Arabidopsis thaliana: one gene and its partners. The protein of the gene in region 2 interacts with the protein of the main gene of each other region in a biochemical or structural test. Each region holds a gene or a part of one and is shown on either strand. Other genes may lie near its edges.

Region 1 (8,589 bases), on a different chromosome or scaffold from region 2:
CGGTGGTACACTTGGGAGGATTTTTTCCACCTCCTGCAAAGTAATGTAAGGATTAGCTTTGGCCACACATAAACGCAGACAAAATTGAAGAACAGAAAGTCCATGAAGACTAGAAACCAGCAAGACCAACTTGTTCCGGGTAAAGGAAAACTATGTCTCCTAAGACGTTTGGTCTAAACCTATTCCTCCTGTCTCTTGTTCGTGGTTATATTTTCTATCATATATTGTCTACTATGCGTGTGCCCTATTCTATACTTCACTACATCTTCTATCATCTATCATTCCCTTTAATATGAATCCAGAACTAATCAACGATCAGCTCTTACAAGTTTCTAGTAATCACAAATTTAATCAATGCATGTGTTGTAAAAAGGGAGAAAAACCTACAATGCATTACCTTTTGCTTCCTGAGTCTTTCGTTTTCTTCTTCTAACCGTGAAACTTTGATCTCTAGCTCATGAGTGTAAGCCTGCTCATCAATATCCAATGTTAAAACAAAAACGAGCATGACTTGACAAGAAGAATAACAACAACAAATTAGTTGTTTCTCACCTGTTTCCTAGCTCGGGAACGAGCAGCAGACTCTCTGTTCTTTATCATTCTCTTCTGCCTCCTCTCTACAGTCTTCTCTACAACTTCTCCTGAAGCTACCCTCTTCCTTCCAGGAGTTTGTGTATCTGACAAACCACCCATCAAAGAAGACTGAGACACCATTGCTTGCATATCTGAAACCGGATAGGGCATAAATGCTTGAGGCTGTGGCATTGATGGGAGCTGATGATATTGAATCCATGGGCCAACTTGAGTAATGTTTTGCCCTAAACCAGCACCTGAACCAGCACTACCACCACCAACAGGACCATCATGGTTCGAACCAGGGATAGTCTCAGTGACCACTCCTGCTTTCAACAACAGGTCTTCAAGCGTCATTTCCCCAAGTGTAGGCTGCTTATCCCTCCTCTCATGAGCACTACCTCCATTCTTATTCTGCTGAATGTCTTTCCAAACCTCATCAACAGTCTTTTTGCTGAGATCCCGAGGCAAAGTCAAACTCCCCTGGCGAGAAAGACCCTCCTGAGCAGCTGCTCCACCATTGACAGCCATAGACGATGGCTGATTAGCTTCAACAGAACAGACACTCTTCAAAAGCTCATCAAGGTTCATGCTTCCCAGAGCTTTACCAGAACTCCCCAAGTGATTTTGAACCTCATCAAGTGTTAAGCTGTAAAGAGAGCTTTGCCTATTCAAGGACTGAGATTTAGCTTGTTCAACAATACCCCTCTGAGAATCCATAGGCTTTTGTAGCGGACAAAAAACAACAAGACAGATAGATAAAAACAATTCTGAACCCACAAATCAGAAACCCTAATGCTCAATTTGATAAATAGCCACACGACGACGAATTCATCAAATCGAGCCTAAATCGGAGGCGAAAGTAACCTTTTTTCTAAGGTAGAGTGGCGAAACATGCAGAAGAGAGACGAGAAGAAGAGAACCCAGAAATCAAATCGAAGGAAATGGCAGAGAGAAATCACGGCGTTGTAGCAATCAGAAAGAGTCTTGGGAATTGCATGCAGCATCGAAGGCTATCAAATGCAGATACTAAACATGGAAATCGCAACACAAGGACAATCAAACTCTTGCGAGGTACAGACTTTTCGAAGAAGAAGAATAAATCAAAAACTTAAGCAAGAGAAAAAGCAACAATCTTTTGGAGCTTAAAAAGGACCAGATCTAAAACATGGCAAGTTTGGGTTTTTCTTTCTCAAAAGAGAAACGAAACTATGATAAGTGCAGAGACAGATTTACAAAGCAAACCTAAACTCTGTGTCTGTGTGTGTCTGAGTCTCTCTCTCTCTCTTCGTTTTGTTTTCGCGCAGGAGAGGAAAAAAGAGAAGAGAGAGAAAACCTTTTGATTGAGAAAGTGACACTCGATACTGTGGCAATGCCCCCCTCTCAAGCCTCCTGTGGAATTTTCAATGCGTTTCTTCTTTTTTTAGTTGCCCAAAAATGGTTTCTCAAACTTTCGATCAAAATAAGAAACAGAGGTTTGTTTAAACACTTAATGATTAGTGATTAACTTAAATGAAGGTGGAATCAATAAACACTACATGTGCTCGGAGACCCTTCATTCATTTAGCTTCAATGGGAATTTAGGTAGATTGATTATCAAACTTTAATCAGAAAAGGTTATACATATACATGTTTATGTTCTTTGGCTCTCAACACTAATCCTCATGCCTATGAGTTTCTCTTTAAATGGTAAGTGATTACTATAAATTAATCTGCAATCATGTTAAACCATTTTTAGGCAATAATTTACATGTATTTTTTTGCAATATTGAAATCTCAAACCTTTAATTATACTTTCTATTATCCAATCTCAGATTGGGTTTTATGAACATTGAATGTGGCTTTGAAGAATATTGCATCTTGGATTCTCTTCATCAATGAAGGACCTTTTTCCCTTTTCGAAACTTGACATAACAATTGAGAGATTGTTGACTTGAGATCAAATACACAAAACTCTACTACTTACTTCCCCCAATTCCACTTCAGCTTCATATTCTGCTTCTCTTCTTCATCATCAATGAACCCTTCTACTATGTATCATCATCATAAATAATATTCAAAGCTGCACTTTTCCAAAAAGAGATTTCACCATCAAAGCAATCATCACCAAAAAAACTTTATGCATTCACGCCTTTATAAACTCCTCTGAAACATTAAGGGAAATAATATATCACCTCGTACTCTTGTGACTTTTCTAATAATCCCTGAACCTTGTGCACAAGGACCTGAAGGTACATGCTCTCTAGACCAAAACCAACTTTTATCACTTCAAAGAGGGACTAGGACCAATAAACAAGAACATATATAGGCAAGAGATTCGCACTGAGAGATATACTTTTAACACTTTTGATTACTTACCCTTCAATTGGAAGCACGTTGTATATAGCCAAAGAAGATACTCAACACTTTGAACTTACCTTTTAGTTGCAAGCATGTTGTGGAGATCCAAAGACTTAACTGCCTGTTGTCGAGAAACTCTATTCGATAGCTTCCACTTTTCAAATATTGAGAAATTGCCTCAGAAAGATCATTCTTCAGCTGTGTCGTTGAGAAGCTTGCACCACTTCCCACCAAGTTTGACTGTTCCAAGTTGGCTGCAACTTAGTAATTTTATGACAAATAAGTTTGGAAACAAAGTTCTAATTTGAAATAGTCATTGTAAAAACTTTTGAAACTTGTCATAGAAAATCCAAAAACACAAGTGAGAGAGCTCTGCTGCATTTTAAAATTCCAAGTTTTGATCATTTCAGAACCAATTGCATTCAGATTAGTATATGTGTGCTAAAGAAATTTCATTGACAGTTAGGGGTACATAATCTGGCTGTTCAACCGCAGTCAATTACCTGCAAGAGGAATAATTGAACAAACATAAAATCAGGATAGTACATAAAGCCAGGTTAATCAAGATAACTTGGTACAAAATACACTGCAGGCAGAAAAACACATGAAATCGTAAAACAGAGAAGTCAATAAAAACTATTTAGGAAAAACTAGAGTTCGATAAGCAAAGACCCACATGGAGCGTAGTTGCGCTTTTTTAGTTTTACAAATGAAAGTCTAAGGGGGATATTCAGAAAACTGAAAAAATAGAGACATAAACACTGAAAATAGTAGTACAAAGTTTTTTTTAGGAATTTCATAAAGAGAGTTTGGGAAAAACAAGTAGATGAAAACTAAAACTCCTTAAAAGGTTTTTTATGAGTTTGGCCTTAGGAGTGACCAAAGAGTAACATTTCATAAAGACTTCATTTAGCATCAGCTCCTTATAAACTTGAGAAGAATCACCAGGCCAATATTAAAACACTGATTTCTGATATCTGCACAATGAATTTAAGAAAATAAGAGAAGTAACATGCTTTAACAACCGTTGCAAAATCCCCCAAAACTCCAATGCAAACAAAAACCATGTGGATATACACAGAAACTTCTTGTCTTCAGACATCAGTAAGTTAATATATACTGAGGAAAGACATTTCAACAATTAAACAAGGGAAATTCATTGCTCTACCTGAGTGGATGGATACATGATACATTTAGTGACCCATGTAAGGAGTACCGTATGGCCCGACACCATGTTGCCCTCTACTTGTACCGCCTTGACCAGGTTGCGGAGTCTGATAACCGCCTTGCAACCCAGGTTGTGTACCGTACCCAGGCATTGTCCCCGGTGCCATAGCTTGAGTACCGTAACCAGTTGGCATTCCAACTCCATTCCCTGGGTTTACACCAGCAGCTGTCCCCAAGGAACCCAACAAAGCCTGTCCAATTGCCGGATTAAAAGCCAAACCAGCTCCCTGAGATGCCAATAAAGCTGTCAAGGCCTGTCCAATGGCCGGGTTTATCACCTGTGCCGTTGGACCACCCATCCCAGCTGGGTTACCAGCCATGAGATGTCCATGACCTCCAGGCGGACCATAACCATTGTTATCATTCCTTTGGTAACGAGGATTGTTATAGGCGTGTGGGTTATGGTGATGCTGCTGCTGCTTGCCCGGTTTGGGACCATCGATAGCTTTCTGGCAATGCAAGATATGGCCTTCAAAAGTCTTGTGTGGCTCCTCCAAAGCCCTCTTGGCGCTTTCAGACGACTTATAAACAAAGAGACAGAAACCTTTAGGTCTCCCAGTATACTTATCAAGACCCAAAGGACCTTCTTCAATTTCTCCAAACTTTGAGAAAAACATCAGCAACTTCTGTGGATCAAGCTCTGCTCCGACATTACTAACATAAATCTTTTTCTGAGTATGCTCCGAGTTCGAATGCTGAGCAGGCGCTGAAACAGCTGCAGCAGCGATAGGAGCTCCACCAAAGACAGGTCCTTTAGAAGCCAATTGGCATGCCGTCATACGACTACCAATCTTCTTCTGAGGCTGCTTGAGTGCGTTGCGAGCACCTGAACGAGACTTGTACAGAATAAAGCCATAACCTTTAGATTTCCCTGAGATCTTATCAAACACAGCCTTGCAATCTTCGATCTCTCCGTACTGCTTAAAAGCTTCAATAAGCGTCTCTGTTTTCGTATCCCAACCAAGACCGTGCACAAAGATCTTCCGATGAACAGGGTCCTCATCAGCTACTTCCCTAATTCGATTGGCTACATCAACATGCTTCTCCGCTGCTTCCTTAAGAAGACTCAAAACTTGCTCCTTTGAAAATGGTTCCAACAGATCCTGAATTGGTTCATCGTCATCATCTTCTTGATTGCCAGATCCAGACGTCGCCGCCGCCTCTATACGATTCCCATCCGTCTGATCCTCATTCTCATCACCATCATCTTCATCGTCATCATCTTCTACTTCTTCTTCTTGCTCTTCCTCTACTTCCTCGTATTCAACTTCTTCAACGTCTCCTTGATTATCCTGATTTTTAATTACAAGCTGCTGCTCCTCCTCCGGCGTCTGCTTCAGCTTCTGCGACGGTTCTTCAGCTTCGTTAGATTCTTCTCCTTCGAGCTTTCTCTTCTTTGTCATTTTCGAATTCTAATGGAGATTTTAGGGTTTCGAATGTTTTCTTTGGTTTCTTCTCCAAAAAGCTGATTTTCCCCTCCTTATCTATAATGCGCCGCTATGTGGGTGGTATATCATCAACCTCAAGTCTTTGCTAAGTGGATTTTTACACATTTACCCCTAACCATTTTATATATATAAGCCCATTAATGATTATTGGGCTTTAAGTTTAAAGACCCATTTACGAAAAGATGCTTAAGTAAGAAAAAAAGAATAACGTCAAAGTTCCCGCCATGTGTTTCCCGCGAGACTTGACGGCTCATAAGATTAGTCAGAACTCAGAAGACAAGACAACCAAAGAAAAGGTTTCGCCTCCCTTCTTACAAAGAGCTGCAATTTTCAGTCTCTTGGTCTTCTTCTTCGTCTTGTTTTCAAATTAATGTCTCTCTGTCTCTTTAGTGAACCCTAGATCCAGAAATTAGAGTTTGGAGCCCAGGATTCGGCATTCATTTCCCTTCTCTATCCAATTAAGCGTTGATTAAGACTTAAGGTAAATTCAATGTCCTAGATTCAATTTCTCTTTGATTCATTCATCTACTTTACCCAGATCTGCTCTTTACCATTCTCGAATCGATACAGCTACAAAAAAAATTGATGTAGCGAAATTAGGGTTTTCGCCGCCCATTGTGAATTTCATTTTTTAATTTGCATGTCCTTTTTCGTGGTCAGATTTGTGCAATTGATTTTCTAAGAAAAGAGTTTTGGTTTCAAATTGTGTTTAGTAGCTAATTGATGTTCGTTTCTCTGATTGGCTTAATGAAATTTAGGATTCTGGTTTATTGTTGTTAGCACTTAGCAGTATCCTTACCGGTAATTCCTTTGTTTGTTTCAATCCAGGAGCGCGGGGATTATACGAGCTTAATCAGTTGTTAGCAAGTAATTATCTGATAGTTACAATGGTGGAGTTAAGAAGTAGCACACACTTGAACTCTCATGTACATTATATCCGAACCATTAAAGACGGATCTATCAAAATAGTGATGAATATGGATGGCAGAAGAAAACCAAAGCTCAAATTTAGACAGTTGGTGGATATATACAATCTTGAAGACAGTCAAGGTGTTGAGTCAATTCCAAGAGTAGTCAGGGATTTGGACAATGGTTCTGATTTTACACAAGGTTCTGAGTCTGAAGATTTTAGCATGACAACATTGGAGATGATTCAGAAACAATGCAAAGAAAGGAAAAGGAAACTTAGAAACTGCAGAGATACTACTACTGAGACATTCTCGAACGTTGAAGTTAAAAAAGAGTATGTGACCCAAGATGAAGGATGTGATATTGAGGAGCCTCTTAGCAGTTGGGATACGAAATTCTCCAAGAGAAGGAAGAAGAAGCAGGAGCGTAAAAAAGCAAAGTGTGGTACTTCTACTTCCTCTCCTCCATCTGTGGAAAAGGTTGATTTGCCGTTGGTGCTCTTTCATGTCAAGCCTGAAGTTTGGGATGATAGCTATTCAGTTTCTGAAGCCATGGATTGTAGTGAAAAGTCAGAATCTCCTATAAATACAGTGTTGGTGGAAGAAATAATGCTTGATTCGTCCAGTGACATGAGGCTGGTTCCATACTGCAGTGCAGAGCCAAATTTTCCCGGAGTGGTAGCCATTGAGGAAGCTTTTGAAGATGCATCAGAAGAGTTTAGCGATGCTGATTTTCAGAATAAGCAAATTGTTTTGTACTCTAGTGTGTCTAGAGAGGAGATGGAATTGGATGTTAATCCACAACATTCAGAATATGAGAACATTGGTTGTGTAAAGAACTTCATTTCTGCTTACACAAGCTCTGGGTGCGAAGAAGAAGATAAAGAGGATGAGGAAAGCAATGATATAAAGGCTAACTTAGATATGAGTGTAACTGGTTTGGAGATTGTGAAGATAGAAGCTCCAGAAATACTTGCTATTGATTACCCCGGTTGTTTGTCCATCATCAATTTTTGTGCAGAAGATTCCGAGATTGTGTGGGAAACTGAAGACATTACTAAGGATAATTTTCCTGAAGCAACTGATATTCTCCAGCTGACCAACTGTTGTAATTCACTGGATAATCTGCAACCAGTTCCTGAAGACAGCACAAGTTCAAAAGAAGAAGATCATTTGACAGAAAGATTACAACAATCTTTATACTCCAAACATGAAGATGAAGCAGGAGACCACAAACTATCACAACTGTATAAGGAACCTGATGAGGTTCAAAAAGTTGCAGAGACTGACAGTATCCAGCAACAACAACCACACCACCAACCAGAAAATCTACTCTCTGGGAGAAAGGTTTGTCCTCTGTATAATTTTTTCTAACCGCATTCTATTCTTAATTCAGTTTCCTTAGTAGATACATTTTGGTTTTCAGGCTTTATCTCCCACCTCTCAAGAAAAACTTCGCAAGGCAATGGAGCACCCTGATTCACCTGAGAAAAGGAGTAAAAGTAAGTCAATGAAAAAAGAAAACTGAAGTCTTATTTATATGCTTTGCACTGTAAAACTTTTAGATGCTCATCCATGTTACAAACTGTAATCCAGAATCAAGAGGGAAACTCTACTTCAGTAGCCAAAACTCACATAGGATCCTTAAGGCTCAAGGGCTGGATAACATTGACCGAGTGGAAATCATTCCAAGCTCAAAGCAAGCCATTCAAAAAGCAACTAATAATACGCGGCAAATGAAGTATCAAAGAGCGACACACAAGTTTCCACGTCGAAATACTCAAGCAGCAAAAGCACAGCCTTTTAGCACTGGAGGCACTTCTATACAAGGATGCTCACAGAAAGCTATTGCCTTCTCGCAAGGGCAAATGCGTGATTTCCAAAATGTTGCAGCTAGGCTCACAAAAGAGCTGAAATCGATGAGACAAATCACAAAGAGATGTCTGCAAGCTGAAAGCAACACCTCCAACATGTCTGACTGTAACTTAGATGAGGTACTTTTGTCTATTATCAGCAATTGAAATTTGGTTTGTCAATTTCTAAATGTTGGCTTTCTTTCTCTTTTCAGGTGAAAACTGTGATTGGAAATGCAG
Region 2 (8,547 bases):
TTGTTTCGTCAGTTTAGTGTCGTGTAAGGTCGTTTACTACCGAGAGATTGAATACAATAGTTGTCTTTGTATTCAAGACGTCAGCAGCTGCTAAACCTTGTTAAAAATTGTTTGTGTGCTTCTGTTTTTTTTTTTTTTTTTTTACTTTTACAGTAACCAATTCAAATATTATTAACCGCAGAAAATTTAGATATATGAGTGTTTTTTGAAGGACATTGAAAATGATTTCTTAGTCGTTTATCAAATACTACATTACGTACAAGTTGTAACTCGGTGATACGTTTTACTTTATATAGTAATAAATCATGTACATAGACACATATATACATATATACAAATGAATGATCACATATAAACACCATAAATTTAATTTAAAAATGAGGGTACAATATAATAAATATTCGATAAATAACATTATAAACGAAACAGAAAAAATAAAATATATATTGCAGTTCAGATGAGACTCACGACTTTGATGAATCTAGGGATTGGCCTTTTGTTTGAGACATGATAATCTAGGAAACTTTGGACTACATCCCCATGCATGATCTTGTAAGAGAACTTCGTAGCTTATCACATCTTCCGCATTGGTCTTGAGTGTTGCAAATGTGAAGAACACCATAATAAGAGCCATATATATTATTATAGCCTTTGTTGATTTCTTAGAGATACCCATATCTTTTTCTTTCTTTTTTTTTTGAATGAACGAAGGAAAAAAGCTTGAATTTATCTGTAGAAAGATTAGCTTTTTTGTTTTTTTTGTTGTGGAGAAACATGAAGGGATTATCAAACCTTTAAATAATATTCAAGATGGGAGACAATATTGTTATGTTTCTTTCCTTTTTTTGGCATGTAGATTTGGAGTATCTATCTAAAATATGGATATTGTTATTTTACTATTTTACTCCTAAAGTGATTAGAATTTAGTTTCACGTCTAAAGAGATATCGAAAGTTTTAAAGATTTTGTTATCATTGCAAGTTTGCAACAATATACTGGATAAACAGTTCAACAAAACTGAATCAATTAACAAAACAAAAAGACAGATTTATACTTTTGTTTTTCTGAATGGTACAAAAACAATAAACTGCAAATTACAGGCAAATTATGTTTTGATTAGTTTTTTTTTTTTTTTTTGAACCAAGTTTTGATTAGTTTTCTTAACTCGTTCAATTATCTGGTTTCTTCTTCGTAAATATGAAATGAATATTAGTCGATGGATTTACGGCCAGTCGGCCGCCTTGAAAAATCAGTAAGCAGTTTGGTAGTGGCGGACCCAGCCAAAAAATTAAGTGGGTACAAAATGTAGCCAGATAGAATCGAACCAGCCACCTTCACCATTTAATGCTTTGAAAGCTATAAACGTATCTTTTTTTTGGGGGCAAAAGCTATAAACGTATCTTAATCGGAAAAAAAGATACGTACATGAAAGCTGTTATAATCAAGTTTCTAACAAACATACAAAACCGAAATTCCTACTCTACTATAATATTCGTTTTAAGAACTAGTTATGATTTATGATTTTTACATTCTTTATATAACTTTATTTTAGCTGAAACGATAATTTATTCAAAACATGAAGTTCATATCCATATATATAAAATAAAATTACACATAGACGGTATTAATTTTCTTACGTATAACATAATAACTACATTAGGAAAGTCACTTTCTCATCAACTTAAGTAGTTTGTGCTAATGTCGTCGATATCAGCATTCACATTTAAATCCGTATGATACATGTTCTAGACAAAAGAAACTAGAAACACATAATTGTGTATATATAACCATTAAAATATAGATTGATTGATATGATCGTTTTCATCAACGATTGTAGAGAAAGATTACACTTTATTATCATATAAATTGCAATTTATCTATGAAAGGATAAAATAGGAATATATATATATATATATGAATATATATAATAATCATAAATAAATATATCTTAATCCATATAAAAGAATACATTTTCCCATTACCAAAAAAAAGAATACATTTGCCGCCCTCTTGTTCTCCATAATACGTTTTGTTGATTTCTTTTTTGAGATTTTTTGATATATATGACTCCGAATCGTGTTTTCATATCACAAAAATTCCAACCCCTATGAAGCTTCACTGTTTTTTGGGGGTGGCTTCGTATATGGATTTGCCCTAGTTTTCTGGCAAAACTGAGGATATTTTTGAGAACATCCCCATGCATGATTCACACGCATTGACTCATATGATATAACTTGCTCCCTGTTGATTGTATCCGCCTTAACAACAAAAATAATCAGTAGAGCGACACATAAAACCGATATTGCCTTCAACATCGCCATATTTTCAAAACGAACAAAGTAAACTAAATGGATTTACACTTACTTTTGATTATTTATTACTTTCTTATAGATTTCTAATTTCTAATTTTGCGTTGATGCTTTATAAAAATAGTTGGTTGCGTTTGCTAAATAAAGTTAATTGTTTTGGAGGTTCCTTAGTTATCCAATTCCAACAAGACTTTCTTTCACAAATGTAATTATTGTTATTAGTTCCAACTTCCAACAGTACATATATAAGATCTATGTTAGCTAATAACAACTAAATGTCGATCCAAAATTGATTCTTAAAATGTCAATCAAAGTTAGTTCTTTTTAGTTTTGTGTAGTGTAAAATTAGATAAATGTATTAACTCTATTTTATTTTATTTTGCCTTTTTTCCTGATTTTATCTACTCAGATTTTATTTTCCTTTTTGCTTACTCAAACTTTTTTTTTATATAATTATAAATAGTACATGGTCTACTTCTATAATTAAGTTACAAAACTATCTATATTCCCAGTTGAGTAGTTGACCTTTAAATATTTCTTTTCTTTTATTTAAAAACGAATTTTTTCATTTTATATTATTATTATTATTATTGGTAAAAGACGATTAAAAAAGAAAATTATTTGTGGGTAATTTTTTATTTTGTTTCCTTTACCCTTGTGACTTGGGTTCTCTTCGTCTCCCTCTCTCTTTGTCCGAGTAAGATACTGAATATATATAGTCTCTCTCGACTCTGTTACTCTCGACAACGTTGGCAAAAAAAAGTAAAGAAAAAAAAACGAACTTTGTGAGTTGTGACAAAACCTTCTTTGTGCTCGTATCTCTCACAAATCCCTAGATTAGGTTAGTTTCTAATCTCTTGGACTTCGTTTCGTCTTCCATCCTTCTCACGTTTAATATTATTCTCTTTGATTCTTCTTCTGCTTTGTGGGTTTAAGGGTAAAACATATGGACTCTGCTTTTTTACAACTTTTATTTAAAAAAGCATCTGTTTTTTGCGTTTAAGGTTTAGTTGACTACTAGTATTTAGTATAAAAATCCCAACTTTTTAGTTGTTTAGACCACTGGAAGATTTTGACTCTTTGAATTTCGGATTTTTGTTGGGTAGTTTTTACATACTAAGTATTGTAAGGTAAAAAGTTGGAACCTTTTTGCAATGTGTGTGCTAAAAGAATCCTGGGGTTTGTTTGATTTTCATTAATGTACAAGTTGATTGTTACTCCTTCTCTGTTTGTTTCGTCTAATGCTTCATTATTTATTTGCTAAGCTGTGATTTGATTATTCGGATGAAGCTAACATCTTTCTGTATAATGGTGTCTTTACGCAGTCTCCTTTGTCTGGCTTTGAAAGTTTGGTATATTTATAATTAGTAACGAATGGGAAAGAGATTAAAGAAGGGTCAAAAGCCTCCATATATGAGGTTTGCTGCAACGGTCTCCGAGAAGCAATCTGAGCAAAGCGTGGAAGTAACTGAGGAGTTTGCTGTGACAATGACAGAAAAAAGATCTTGTGTCCATTTTGATAAATATGTTGATTTGGATAAGTTGTTGAAAATTATCAAATCTTATCAACAAATCAAGTGTGGAGAATGCAATGAAAGAGTTCACGTGAAGAGAGGAAGTAGATGGGGTGCTAGTAACAGGAGAGACTGGTATTCTTCCTCTGACCAGAATTGTGCTAGAAATGCTATTTGGCTTTGTTTGGAATGTGGCTATTATGTTTGTGGAGATGTTGGTTTGCCGACTGAGGCTCAGAGTCATGTTATGGGGCATAACAGGTTGACGCGTCACCGTTTGGTGATTCAATGTAAAAATCCTCAGTTAAGGTGGTGTTTCTCATGCCAATCACTTCTCCCTTTTGATAATGAAGAGAATGGTGAGAAAAAAGATTTGTTGCTGGAAGTTGTGAAATTGATTAGAGAAAGATCTCCAAACACGTACTCTGCTTCATTTGAAACTGAATTTTCATGTTCAGGAAGTATCTATGGTGGTATAGAAGCAAGAGATGGTTATGCTGTAAGAGGTTTAGTTAACCTTGGGAACACATGTTTCTTTAATTCTGTAATGCAGAACCTTCTCTCTTTGGATCAATTACGTGAGCACTTCTTGAAAGAGGATCTATCTGTTAGCGGGCCTCTCGTTTCTTCCCTGAAGGAACTATTTGCTGAATCAAATTCAGAGGCAAGCGTTTTTAGGAATGAGATAAATCCAAGAGACCTTTTCTTTTCTGTCTGTTCTCAGGCTCCCCAATTTAGGGGATATCAGCAGCATGACAGTCATGAGTTGCTAAGATGTTTGTTGGATGGTTTGAGCATTGAAGAATCGAGCCTGAGGAAGAAGCTTGGTGTTTCTGATAGTAATGACAGTTCTACATATCAGAAACCTACTCTCATAGATTCTGTATTTGGAGGTGAAATATCGAGCACTGTTTCTTGTTTAGAATGCGGACATTTCTCAAAAGTGTATGAACCCTTTATGGATCTCTCTTTACCCGTTCCGTCCATGAAACTTCCTCCTAAAAAGCAACAAATCCTTTCTCAGGCAAAGGAGGTCCTTAAGAATGGGGCAGTCAGCAAAGATTCAGAAGTTGTGTCCGCTAAACCTGCATCGGATCACAATTCCACAGTTCCACTCTTTCCATCGGATCACAAGATTCAAAGCAGGTCTCTGAAATCACAATAGATACTGATACGGAACAGGATAACTTATGGTCCGAACATGATGACTTTTGGTCGAATTTTCTTAGACCAGAAACCTCTGACAATGAAACCGATTTGGTTTTGCTAAGCGATGTTAGTGATACTGCCCCATCAACCGAGGCTAAAGGAGTTAATCAGATTTTGGTAGGTAGCACAGAAACGCTGATGCATGATAATGATCGAACTGGAAAAACTGTACCAGATAAAGAAGATGTACGAGCTACGCAGTCTAATGAAGAAACATCTGCAAGTGGGATTTCAGCAGTGATAGATGAGGCTCAAGTTTGCGGTTGTCCTGATTTAGAGCAAAGTTCTTCATCTGCAAATCAGGGGGCTGATGAAGAGCTTGCCTTGATGGTTGCAGATTCTCAGGTTCTGTATATGCCTTATAAAGATCACTTATTCTATGATGATTATATGGTTGCAGAAGCTTCCTCGTCATTCGTGAGCGGTGACCATGAACCAAAAAAAGACTATTTTGACTTTAGCAGTTTTCTTGATGAGCCTGAGATACGCGAAGGACCTGTTTTTAGACCACTATCTAAATCTGAAGTTTATGAAGCTGGTTTTAAGGCTGACTGCAGTGATGATAAAACAGTTAGTGCAGGTAAGGGTGAAGCTTCCTCGTCATTCATAAGTAGTGACCATGAACAAAACATAGATTATGTTGACTTTAGCAGTTTTTTTGACGAGCCTGAGATATCCGAAAGACCTTTCTTTCGACCGCTATCTAAATCTGAAGTTTCTGAAGCTGGTTTTAAGGCTGACTGCAGTGATGATAAAACAGTTAGTGCAGGTAAGGGTGAAGCTTCCTCGTCATTCGTAAGCAGTGACCATGAACAAAACATAGATTATGTTGACTTTAGCAGTTTTTTTGATGAGCCTGAGATATCCGAAAGACCTTTCTTTCGACCGCTATCTAAATCTGAAGTTTCTGAAGCAGGTTTTATGGCTGTCAGCGGTAATGATAAAACAGTTAGGGCAGGTAAGGGTGAAACTTTTTCTTCATTCATGAGCGGTGACAATGAACGAAACATAGATTATGTTGAGTTTACTAACAGAATATTCGATGATCGTGGGACATCTGAAAGACCTGTTTTTGGACCACCATCTAAAGCTAAAGTTTCTGAAGCTGGTTTTGTGGCTGTAAGCAGCGACTCTGATCCTGCAGTTCTTGATGAATCGGATTCACCAGTGTCTGTAGATAGGTGTTTGGCTCAGTTCACGAAGCATGAGATTTTGTCAGAAGACAATGCTTGGCATTGTGAGAATTGTTCGAAGAACCTAAAACTTCAGCGGTTGAGAGAAAAGAGAAGAACTAAAGAAGGATTGAGCAACAGATGGGTGAATGAAAATGGAGCTAGTTCGGCTTTTGATGAGTGTAGAGACAGTTCACTAAATCAATCCTGTATAGATCTCGAAAACGGTTACAAAGCTGCTCCTCCGATCACAAAATTGCCAAACTGCAAGGAAGAGGAAAGCGCAATAGATGATGGATTTGTGGGAGAGGAAAATACAAAGCAAGCTCCAATTACTTCTGTTACTGAAACACCTCTCCTCGGTGGAGAAACCATCAGTTCTCAACCAGCCAGTGACAATGAATGTGAAAATTGGGAAGACTTGGCAGTAGATTCTGAAGAAGTGATAGTAAAAAGAGATGCTAGGAAAAAGGTACTTATAAACAAGGCACCACCTGTCTTGACCATACATCTCAAAAGGTTCAGCCAAGATGCTCGAGGCAGGGTAAGCAAGCTAAGTGGCCATGTTGATTTCCAAGAGTTCATCGATCTTAGCAAATACATGGACACTAGGTATGCCCATTTTCTCTATATACATAATCTTTTCTTTTAATGTTACCACATTTGGTCAGAAACCATCATAAAATCCACTAATCGTTAATTTCTCTCGCTCTCTAGGTGCTCCGAAGAAGACGAGCCGGTTTACAGGTTGGCCGGGTTAGTGGAACATTTAGGGGCAATGAGTCGAGGTCATTATGTTTCTTACATTAGAGGAGGCCACAAGGAGAGGAGAGACTCTGATACTAAAGAACCAAACTCATCCATATGGTATCACGCAAGCGATTCTCAGGTTCGACCGGCTTCTTTGGAAGAAGTTCTCCGTTCTGAAGCCTATATCTTATTTTACGAACGAATCTGAGAACACGGAGGCTGGATATCTTTTTTTTTTTTTTTTCTCTTTCTATAATTTAGGTTAATAGAACAAGATAGGTTTAACGTTCTTCACACATTGTGCTGGTGAACTCTCTTGACTTAAGTTTAGCATTTTGCCTTGTTTGAAAAGTTAAGTGTTTTTACGTTCAGCTTATAGATAATGGCTACGTAAACTGTAGAACGTTATAAAATCTACCGGTATAACTACTTGGTTTAGTTGCAAACCGAGCACATTTCAGGCTGACGTACAATATGTATTACGTCGGCGGCGAGATAGTACAGGTCTTGATTCCGGTTCCAGCTCCACAATGCATGCGTCTCATTCTTCACCTGAAAAGGCCAACGTAAAAAAAAACACTTCGTTTTAAGCAATTTTAAATTGGTACAATCTGAGAAAACAACGGACCGGTTCTGAGTTTGATCCATGATGCTTATGCCCAAGAACTATTCTTAGTAGGTTACTTGAACATCAAGCGATAAAGAATAGAGAGAGATCTAACTTACTTCTAGTATACCGAAACCGAAGCTGCTTTCTCTGTATGCGCTATACTCCGGCTGCTTAACCGGACAAGTCTCATCTTTTACAGGCTCCAACGTGGAGTTCAAGCCGCTGGATCTGCACGAGTAGTTCTGAGAAGGATCTGGAATATTTCCTGGGTCGTCTACATGCTGAGTCTCCAGCTTCCCAGCTCCTCCTGCACCGGTTGTTATATAAACCGGGCCACATTGGTCTAACGTGTAGTTGTAGACTCTGTTTGATCTCTCATATGCATCAACCTAGTTCAGGTTTTGTGGGAAATTAGCGTAAAAGAAGATATTTCCCAAAAGCAAAGGAATACTTTAACAGAACAACACACATACATGACTATTGAAGACGATATCGACTCGGTAGTTATAGAGCAAGTCTTCAAGGTGAATCCTCATTGATTCAGCTTCTCTGTAATGCCCTTTGAATGTGCTGTACCAAGGAAGACTCCAAGTTGCAACCACCCATGGAGTTTCTGATCTGTTTATTTTGATCAGGTCACTTTCAAGCCAAATATACTGATCAGCTGTTGAAGAAACAGGGAATTAAGAAAATCAGAAACACATTTCAATGAAATTTAAACCTAAAGAGAGAAAATCAAAACCTGGAGAAACTATACATGAGTTATCATAAAGTGTGTATGAATTGAGCACTATGAAATGAGCTCCTCCCGCGTTGAAAGAATAGTATAATGGTGAGAAAGAACCGCTTTCGTTTGAAGGGAATGCGAATCTTGAACTGTATGCAGCGAATGTCAGATTATTCTCGGTCTGCGGCTCAATCTCGTGCTCCCCTGCTACCATCATGGTTGGAACATTAGCCGTGAGTGGCTCCATGAACCTGTCA
Region 3 (6,601 bases), 4.5 Mb from region 2:
GTCCTAATTTAGTATGTCGGCCCAATTTGTAAAATCATGTTAACTTGGTAAAAGATTGTTTCTGGTAGTGATAAAATGAATATGAAGCTGCAGGTTACTGTCTTGAAGGGTGATGTTATAGAGAATGGATATGAGGTGGTTGATGCAGTGGAAGGCAATGGAAACAATGATGATAGTGGTGATGATGGAGGAGAAGACGAAGAAGGCAGTGCAGATGATGCAGAAGGAAAGGAGACCAAGAAAGGACCGGTAAGTGATCCTGATTTGAACGGTGAAGCTGGAGATAATGATGATGAACCTGAAGGGGATGATGGTAACGATGACGAGGATGATGATAACCATGAGAACGATGATGAAGATGAGGAGGAGGATGAAGACGAGAATGATGATGGTGGTGAAGAAGACGACGATGAGGATGCGGAGGTAGAGGAGGAGGAAGAGGAAGAAGATGAAGATGATGAGGAAGCGCTTCAGCCACCAAAGAAGAGGAAGAAGTGAACAAACCGCTTTGATCTCCTAACATTTTAGATTCAAAAATCAAAACTTGTTATCGGTTTTTACCTGAAGAGGAGAGAATCTTAAGGCATCATCAGCTTTAGCTTCAACTGTGTCTTTGTTGTTCCATAAACCAAGACTTTGTTTAGTGTAACATTTTCAGATCCAATGGCACCAGCTTTCTTTTCTTTAGCCCATCATTAATGATATATGCATATCTCTATGAGGTCATCAAATGCGATCAAATTTATATAACAACTTCAAGGGTCAACTTTAGCTGTCATAAATAGTTAAAAGAAAGTTAAATCCTATTGAGTCCTCATAGAGCAAACCTTTTTCCCCAGAGGTCACAATACAGATTGCACAGAGGTCTTTAACGAATAATCACAATGATATTACTTGAGCCACAGACTGTCTATCGTATGATATCGGACAAGAGTGACATCAAACAGAAAAAAAAAGAAAGGAAGAAAAAACAATACAAAAAAAAACTAAAACGTACTGACTTTGATAGAAATGTTAAAAAGAAATCCCCAGAAACTGCATGTTTATCATTCTCATGCTCAGCCCACACCATCTGCAAAAGTTGGAGTTCAAGAAAACAAAACAAAACATAACTCTATCAAAAGCTGAAGACAAAAAGAAAAACATATGGAAACAAGAGCAATGCTCTATCTTTCTGGTAAGATAACCCCGAAAAGTGAAAACAATAGAAATCAAAGGGACAAACATAAAAAAAATGTTAAAACTCAAACTTAAGTCTAAAACCATGAGTGCAACAGCATGAACAGATGCTATAGTTTACAGTCCGTTTAAAGACGTTAGCACCAAAACCAGATGAGTGGAGAGATGGTGGACGTTCAGTTTATAAAACCCAGTGCAACACTAAAACAAAAAAAGCCAAGAGACAAAAAGAATGTAACAATATTCGTCCCCACCATCACCAACCTATAGAGAAACTAACTTCGATAAAACAAATGGCACTTGAGAAAACTGTAAAACCAGGGACAGTAAAGAAAAGAAAACAAAACATAAACCAACAAAAGGAAAAATAATGGAGAAAACAAAAAAAACAAAAGTATGGTGGGTCACATTGCATCTACTTGAAATAGAGTCGAAGCAAGATTCATGAATAATGAATTACGGCAACCGATGACAATGCTAACCTACCTCTAGAACATAATTTAGGTATTTAATTCCTGTAGCAGTTCCTCCTAGGAATATACATATTTAGGCATTTAAGCCAACTATTTGACTAGAGAGGCATAATAATGTCAGATAAAATTCCGGTACTACCACAAAAGCCTTAATCCATTTATCTACACATGACGGAGCTACAATGAATTTATGCTTATCCAAAGACATTCAAACCACAATATTAGCACAAACATTGCTACAAAACACCAAAGGTTTCAGTGAACGTACCATGAATAGTTTGAGTAGCCATGAAAGGAGGAGCCACCAGCATCCGAATCTTTACCCGTCCCTCTTTTTCCACCAGCATCCGAATCAGGATAAGTACTAGGCAGACTCTGACCTCTAAAGTAAGAACCTAGAGCTGAAAGACCAGCAGCACCAACGCTTGGATCAACACCAATCCCACCCATTTGACTAGACTGTACCATATCAGAACCCAACCCGCCATGTGCTAGAGCACCCGCTAACATCGGATACATGTAACCTCCCCCAGCTGCTGCTGCTGCTGCTAAAGCTGGATTTCCCAACATCCCAGCTCCATAAAGCGGATGGTATTGGTTCCCTAACATAAACGGCGAAGCAGCCATTCCACCACCGTTAAACACATGTTGACCTTGTACCTGCTGTTGCTGAGGCTGTCCATGATTAGCCATCGAACCCATACTAATCTTCACCGGACCAGGTTGATCATGCCCCTTTCCTGAAGCCGCAGGACCCATAGAAGCAAGCTGGCAAGTGGCAGTTCTATTAAGAATCCTCTTCTTCGGTTCTTTAAGAGCTTCTTTAGCTCCTTTCCTAGTCTTGAACATAACAAATCCAAACCCTTTAGCCTTACCAGTAGCCTTATCTATAACAACGGTACACTCTTCAATCTCACCATAACCTTCAAAGACTCCAACAAGAGTCTCGCGAGTCGTCTCCCATGGAAGACCATAAACGAAGATTTTCCTGTGTGTAACATCACGATCTGCGGCTTCTACGACGGCGGAATAGATCGAAGATCCGATTCGAGAAGCGGAACAAACTAGATCGACAAGCTGGTCCTTGGAATAAGGTTGTAGAAGCTCACGGAGCTCTTCTGGGTCGAATTCGTTGTCTGATTCGGAATCGCTAGAATCAGAGCTGGAGCTTGAACTTGAATATGGCGTTGAGGATTCTGGTTGTTGTTGTTGTTTGTTAATCTTCTGTTTCTTATCGAAATTCGTGGATTTGGATTTCACGAGTTTGCGCTTCTTAGATTTGTCTAGGGTTTTCGCCATTGTAGTAGAGGATAAACGAGTCAAGAAGCTTTTAGGGATTTTGATTTTTGATTTTTGATTTCAGTTTCCTGTTTCCCCTCGGGTCAAGAGTTCGATTTACTTTATCCTCGAGATGTCGTTTTTCCGATTTTTTCAGTTTAATTTTTTTTTTATTCGAGTATTTTGCTTTGAATATATTTTCAAATATTTAGATTATTTTTGGATTGGTTTATTTTGAATATTTTTATTATTTTACATATTTTTAAATATTTGCTTTATATTTAAGATAAGGCCTTAGATCTTTGTAGAGGTTACATGGCAAGATGCTGGCTTTAAGTTATGATGGCTATACATCAACCGGAATACCATAAGCTCCCTAACTTTACGGGGTGTGAACTTTGTGGTACTTTTCTTTTAGAGCGCCGTCAGAAAAGATTCCTGGCTAGGCAGAGGTTTTAGCCATATTGGTGGTGTCGCTCTGCTACTTGTTTATTCATTCACCAGTTGAAACTTTTTTTTCTTTCTTTTTTATCTTTATGTGTTATGAGAAACTAAAAAAATAGTCACCGAGATCTTAGAGAGGGTTTTGTTTTTGTTCTTAAGATTTTCAGAGTTTCCCCATTGGAAAGAAAAACAAAGCCCTCATAAGATCATGATCACAAAACAACGAAATCAAATGACCAAAACCAAACCAAAGTTGATTTAGCTGAAGCATACTATAGATTAATACGAGTTGATTCATATGGATGGATGGATAGCTGCAGAGAAGACCAAAAACCGAGAAACAAGATTGATCCTCTTAAGAAATCGAAAAACTGAAAACAAGATTGATCCTCTTAAGAAAACAAGCATTCGCATCATCGGTCACTGTGAGGTCATTGTGAAAATCCAAAGAAAAAAAAAAAAAAAACAAGTATGCTTTGCTACCATAACCAGAGTTATATAGAATATGAATAACGAGCAGGTAAAAAAAAGGTAAATCCAGAACAAAGCTATGTAAGGTGAAAAACAAATTGGGTCCAAGTACCGATGACCAAAAACAATCTTGAACTTAGGCAAGAAAACTTGGCAACTGATATCAAAATGGACTCTTAAATACAAAAGAGAAAGGGGCGACACTACCATAAAAGAGGAATGTGATGAAAGAGATTGAGAAGCTTATAAAAACCTATGGGGAAGAAAACAATGCTTGAAGGAAAGAAAACTCAGGTTGTTTATTCCAGAGAAAATCAACTTGAAGCTTTTGAAAGAGTCCCAAAACTTTTTCCAGTACTCAAAAAGACAGATTTAAAACAAGAATGTAAAACCATTATGTCTGATCCTACAAACGGGTCTCAAGACAACTGCAGCTGGAAGATACAGACTTTTGGCAGTTATGACATATAGTGGACAAAACTATAAATGTCATAAGCTTCTTCTCCAGCTATAGCGAACAGATATTCAATGAAAATGCGGGAAAACATAAAACCAAAAACAAGGAAAAACAAAAGAGAAAAACATACGCCATGCCACAGAAGAAAACCAGACGTGAGTTTGATGGGTAAGGAGAAGACAGAAGACCATAATGGGGGACTCCAAAAGGGAAAACAAAGAGATAGCAAACTACTTTAAACCAATATTGATCCTAGTAACTAAATCTTCTAGACAAAATGACCACATTTCACTGGTTTATGAGAACAGAGCAGAACACCAATGACAGACTTCCAGAGAGCAACAGAAAATTCATCCTTTGAGCACACATCTCCCTCAAAATGGCTCATATAGGGGTAGATACCTCGTTAAAAGAGACTATAAATAATGAAACTAAAAAAGTAGGTTTGAAACATCAGGCATAGAAAATAAAGATCCGCAAAAAAAACTCCTGCAATTCCCAAAATATCAAGTTGGAGTCGAAGATACCGGACTAATCATTAGCCTAATCTATAACTTGAAATATCAGAGAACATGGTCATACCACTTGGGTTCTCTTATCTCAGATACCAAGCACGTTCACCATCAAAACCAGCACCAGCACCAGCACCCGCACCAACACCGTTAACATTACCATCACCAACATATTGTCCCACCATTCCCATATGATTCGGTGGCATCATAGGTCCTTGATTCATCATACCCGAGCCAAACATACGATAATTCTGTAAACCAGCAACCATCGGATTACCCATCATTGCACCATACATAGGATTAAAACCAGGAGGAGGCTGAGAATGTCCATAAAAGGGCATGTTCTGTCCAGCATACATTGACATATTCTGCTGCTGCTGATGTCCCTTATCAAGTCCATGACCCAAATCAATCCCAGGCAAAGCCATTTCACTCTGATTACCCGTATGACTCAAATCAATCTTCACAGACTCAACCGGTTGTTGTTGTTCTCGTGGCTTTCCAGAATTAAACGGCCTAGCTGGTAAACAACTAACAGTTCGATTATACATTCTCTTCTCCGGATTCTTCAACGCCGCTCTCGCTCCTTTACGCGTCTTAAACAACACAAAGCCAAAACCTTTAGCTCTTCCTGTATCTTTATCCATAACCACAGAACATTCCGTTATCTCCCCATAAACCTCAAAAGCCGCCTTGAGATTCTCATGCGTTGTATCCCATCCAAGACCACGCACGAATATGTTCCGTTGAGAACTATCTCTATCCGCTGATTCAAACACTGCTGAGATCAATTTAGAACCTTTCTCAGCAGTTTTGTAAATTAGGTTAATAAGCTCCTCTTTAGAGTAAGATTCAAGTAGATTCTTAATATCTTCCTTATCGAATTCGAAATCAGAATCAGACTCAATGGTAACAATCGGGACCGTAACAGGCTTTGAATCGACGATCTCTTCGGATTCATCTGATGATCTCTTATGTTTCTTCTTACTCTCCTTCGATTTCTTAGGAGATGGAGATGGAGATGGAGATTTCTCCTCTTCTTCTACTTCTTCGTATTTCTTCGATTTCTTCTTTGATTTCTCTGGTTTCTCTTCCTCTTTGGATTTCGATTTATGTTTTTTTGAGATTTTCTTCTCTCTTACAGCGAGTTCTTCAGCTTCGCGACGCTTCCTCTCCTTCCTCTCCTTCTTCTCTTTCTTCTCCTTCTTACGTTCTTCTCCTTCTTTCGCCATTGTTGACGGCAGTGGCTACCAAAAAAAACACTCTGAATAGAGTAACTCCTCTAAAATAGGGTGCACCAGAGAACACTAGATTATTTAAGTATATTTATAATAAAGTAAAGAGTCTAACAAAAACGTCTGGGTGGTGTAGTCGGTTATCACGCTAGTCTCACACACTAGAGGTCCCCGGTTCGAACCCGGGCTCAGACATGCTTTTTTTTTTGCAACACATAATTTTTTTTTTTAACATGAATTAGTAGAGGGGCAAAAACGTCAAAATACAGAAAAGGAAAAAGATACAACATTTCTGGTTTTTGTGTGCCGGCGAAGAACCGGTGAGTGACGGGTCAATTCACATACTTGTTTAACGGCAACAAAAACCTACCGATAAATGCTAAACTAACGAAATCGGATCATAGCTCGACGAAGTCTCGATCTTTTCTATTCTCTCTTTCTGGGTATTCGTGGGTTTTACCCAGATTTCGAAATTGAATGGCGGACGAACTGGAATTGTCGCCGTTGGTTCCACCGTCGCCGATGGTCGAGCCTTCCGAGATCGATCTCGAA

What was found.
Region 1: the proteins of UBP1 (region 2) and UBA2A form a complex in vitro, tested with the Arabidopsis thaliana proteins (one study listed by BioGRID).
Region 3: the proteins of UBP1 (region 2) and UBA1A form a complex in vitro, tested with the Arabidopsis thaliana proteins (one study listed by BioGRID).

Annotation. Positions count from the first base shown.
Region 1 is NC_003074.8:21,046,602-21,055,190, forward strand, and holds UBA2A (UBP1-associated protein 2A), read right to left. Parts: upstream 5,720-8,589; 5' UTR 5,544-5,719; coding exon 4,107-5,543; 3' UTR 4,082-4,106; exon of another isoform or gene 3,154-4,081; 3' UTR 2,126-3,153; downstream 1-2,125. Other genes in the region: AREB3 (ABA-responsive element binding protein 3), read right to left, coding at 1-33, 398-469, 553-1,293; AT3G56870 (uncharacterized protein), read left to right, coding at 6,476-7,843, 7,923-7,998, 8,093-8,490, 8,565-8,589. UniProt on the Arabidopsis thaliana protein: Heterogeneous nuclear ribonucleoprotein (hnRNP)-like protein that acts as a component of a complex regulating the turnover of mRNAs in the nucleus. Binds with high affinity to RNA molecules that contain U-rich sequences in 3'-UTRs.
Region 2 is NC_003071.7:13,897,045-13,905,591, reverse strand, and holds UBP1 (ubiquitin-specific protease 1), read left to right. Parts: upstream 1-3,721; coding exon 3,722-4,968; intron 4,969-5,051; coding exon 5,052-6,815; intron 6,816-6,920; coding exon 6,921-7,161; 3' UTR 7,162-7,182; downstream 7,183-8,547. Other genes in the region: AT2G32788 (uncharacterized protein), read right to left, coding at 482-676; AT2G32785 (uncharacterized protein), read right to left, coding at 2,105-2,320; PAP13 (purple acid phosphatase 13), read right to left, coding at 7,389-7,505, 7,680-7,952, 8,037-8,227, 8,321-8,541. UniProt on the Arabidopsis thaliana protein: Recognizes and hydrolyzes the peptide bond at the C-terminal Gly of ubiquitin. Involved in the processing of poly-ubiquitin precursors as well as that of ubiquitinated proteins. Is involved in resistance to the arginine analog canavanine (CAN).
Region 3 is NC_003071.7:9,387,500-9,394,100, forward strand, and holds UBA1A (RNA-binding (RRM/RBD/RNP motifs) family protein), read right to left. Parts: upstream 3,008-6,601; 5' UTR 2,952-3,007; coding exon 1,908-2,951; 3' UTR 1,551-1,907; downstream 1-1,550. Other genes in the region: AT2G22080 (uncharacterized protein), read left to right, coding at 94-498; AT2G22088 (uncharacterized protein), read left to right, coding at 885-1,041, 1,303-1,550; AT2G22100 (RNA-binding (RRM/RBD/RNP motifs) family protein), read right to left, coding at 4,898-6,046; AT2G22120 (RING/FYVE/PHD zinc finger superfamily protein), read left to right, coding at 6,527-6,601. UniProt on the Arabidopsis thaliana protein: Acts as a component of a complex regulating the turnover of mRNAs in the nucleus. Binds with high affinity to RNA molecules that contain U-rich sequences in 3'-UTRs. May function in complex with UBP1 and contribute to the stabilization of mRNAs in the nucleus.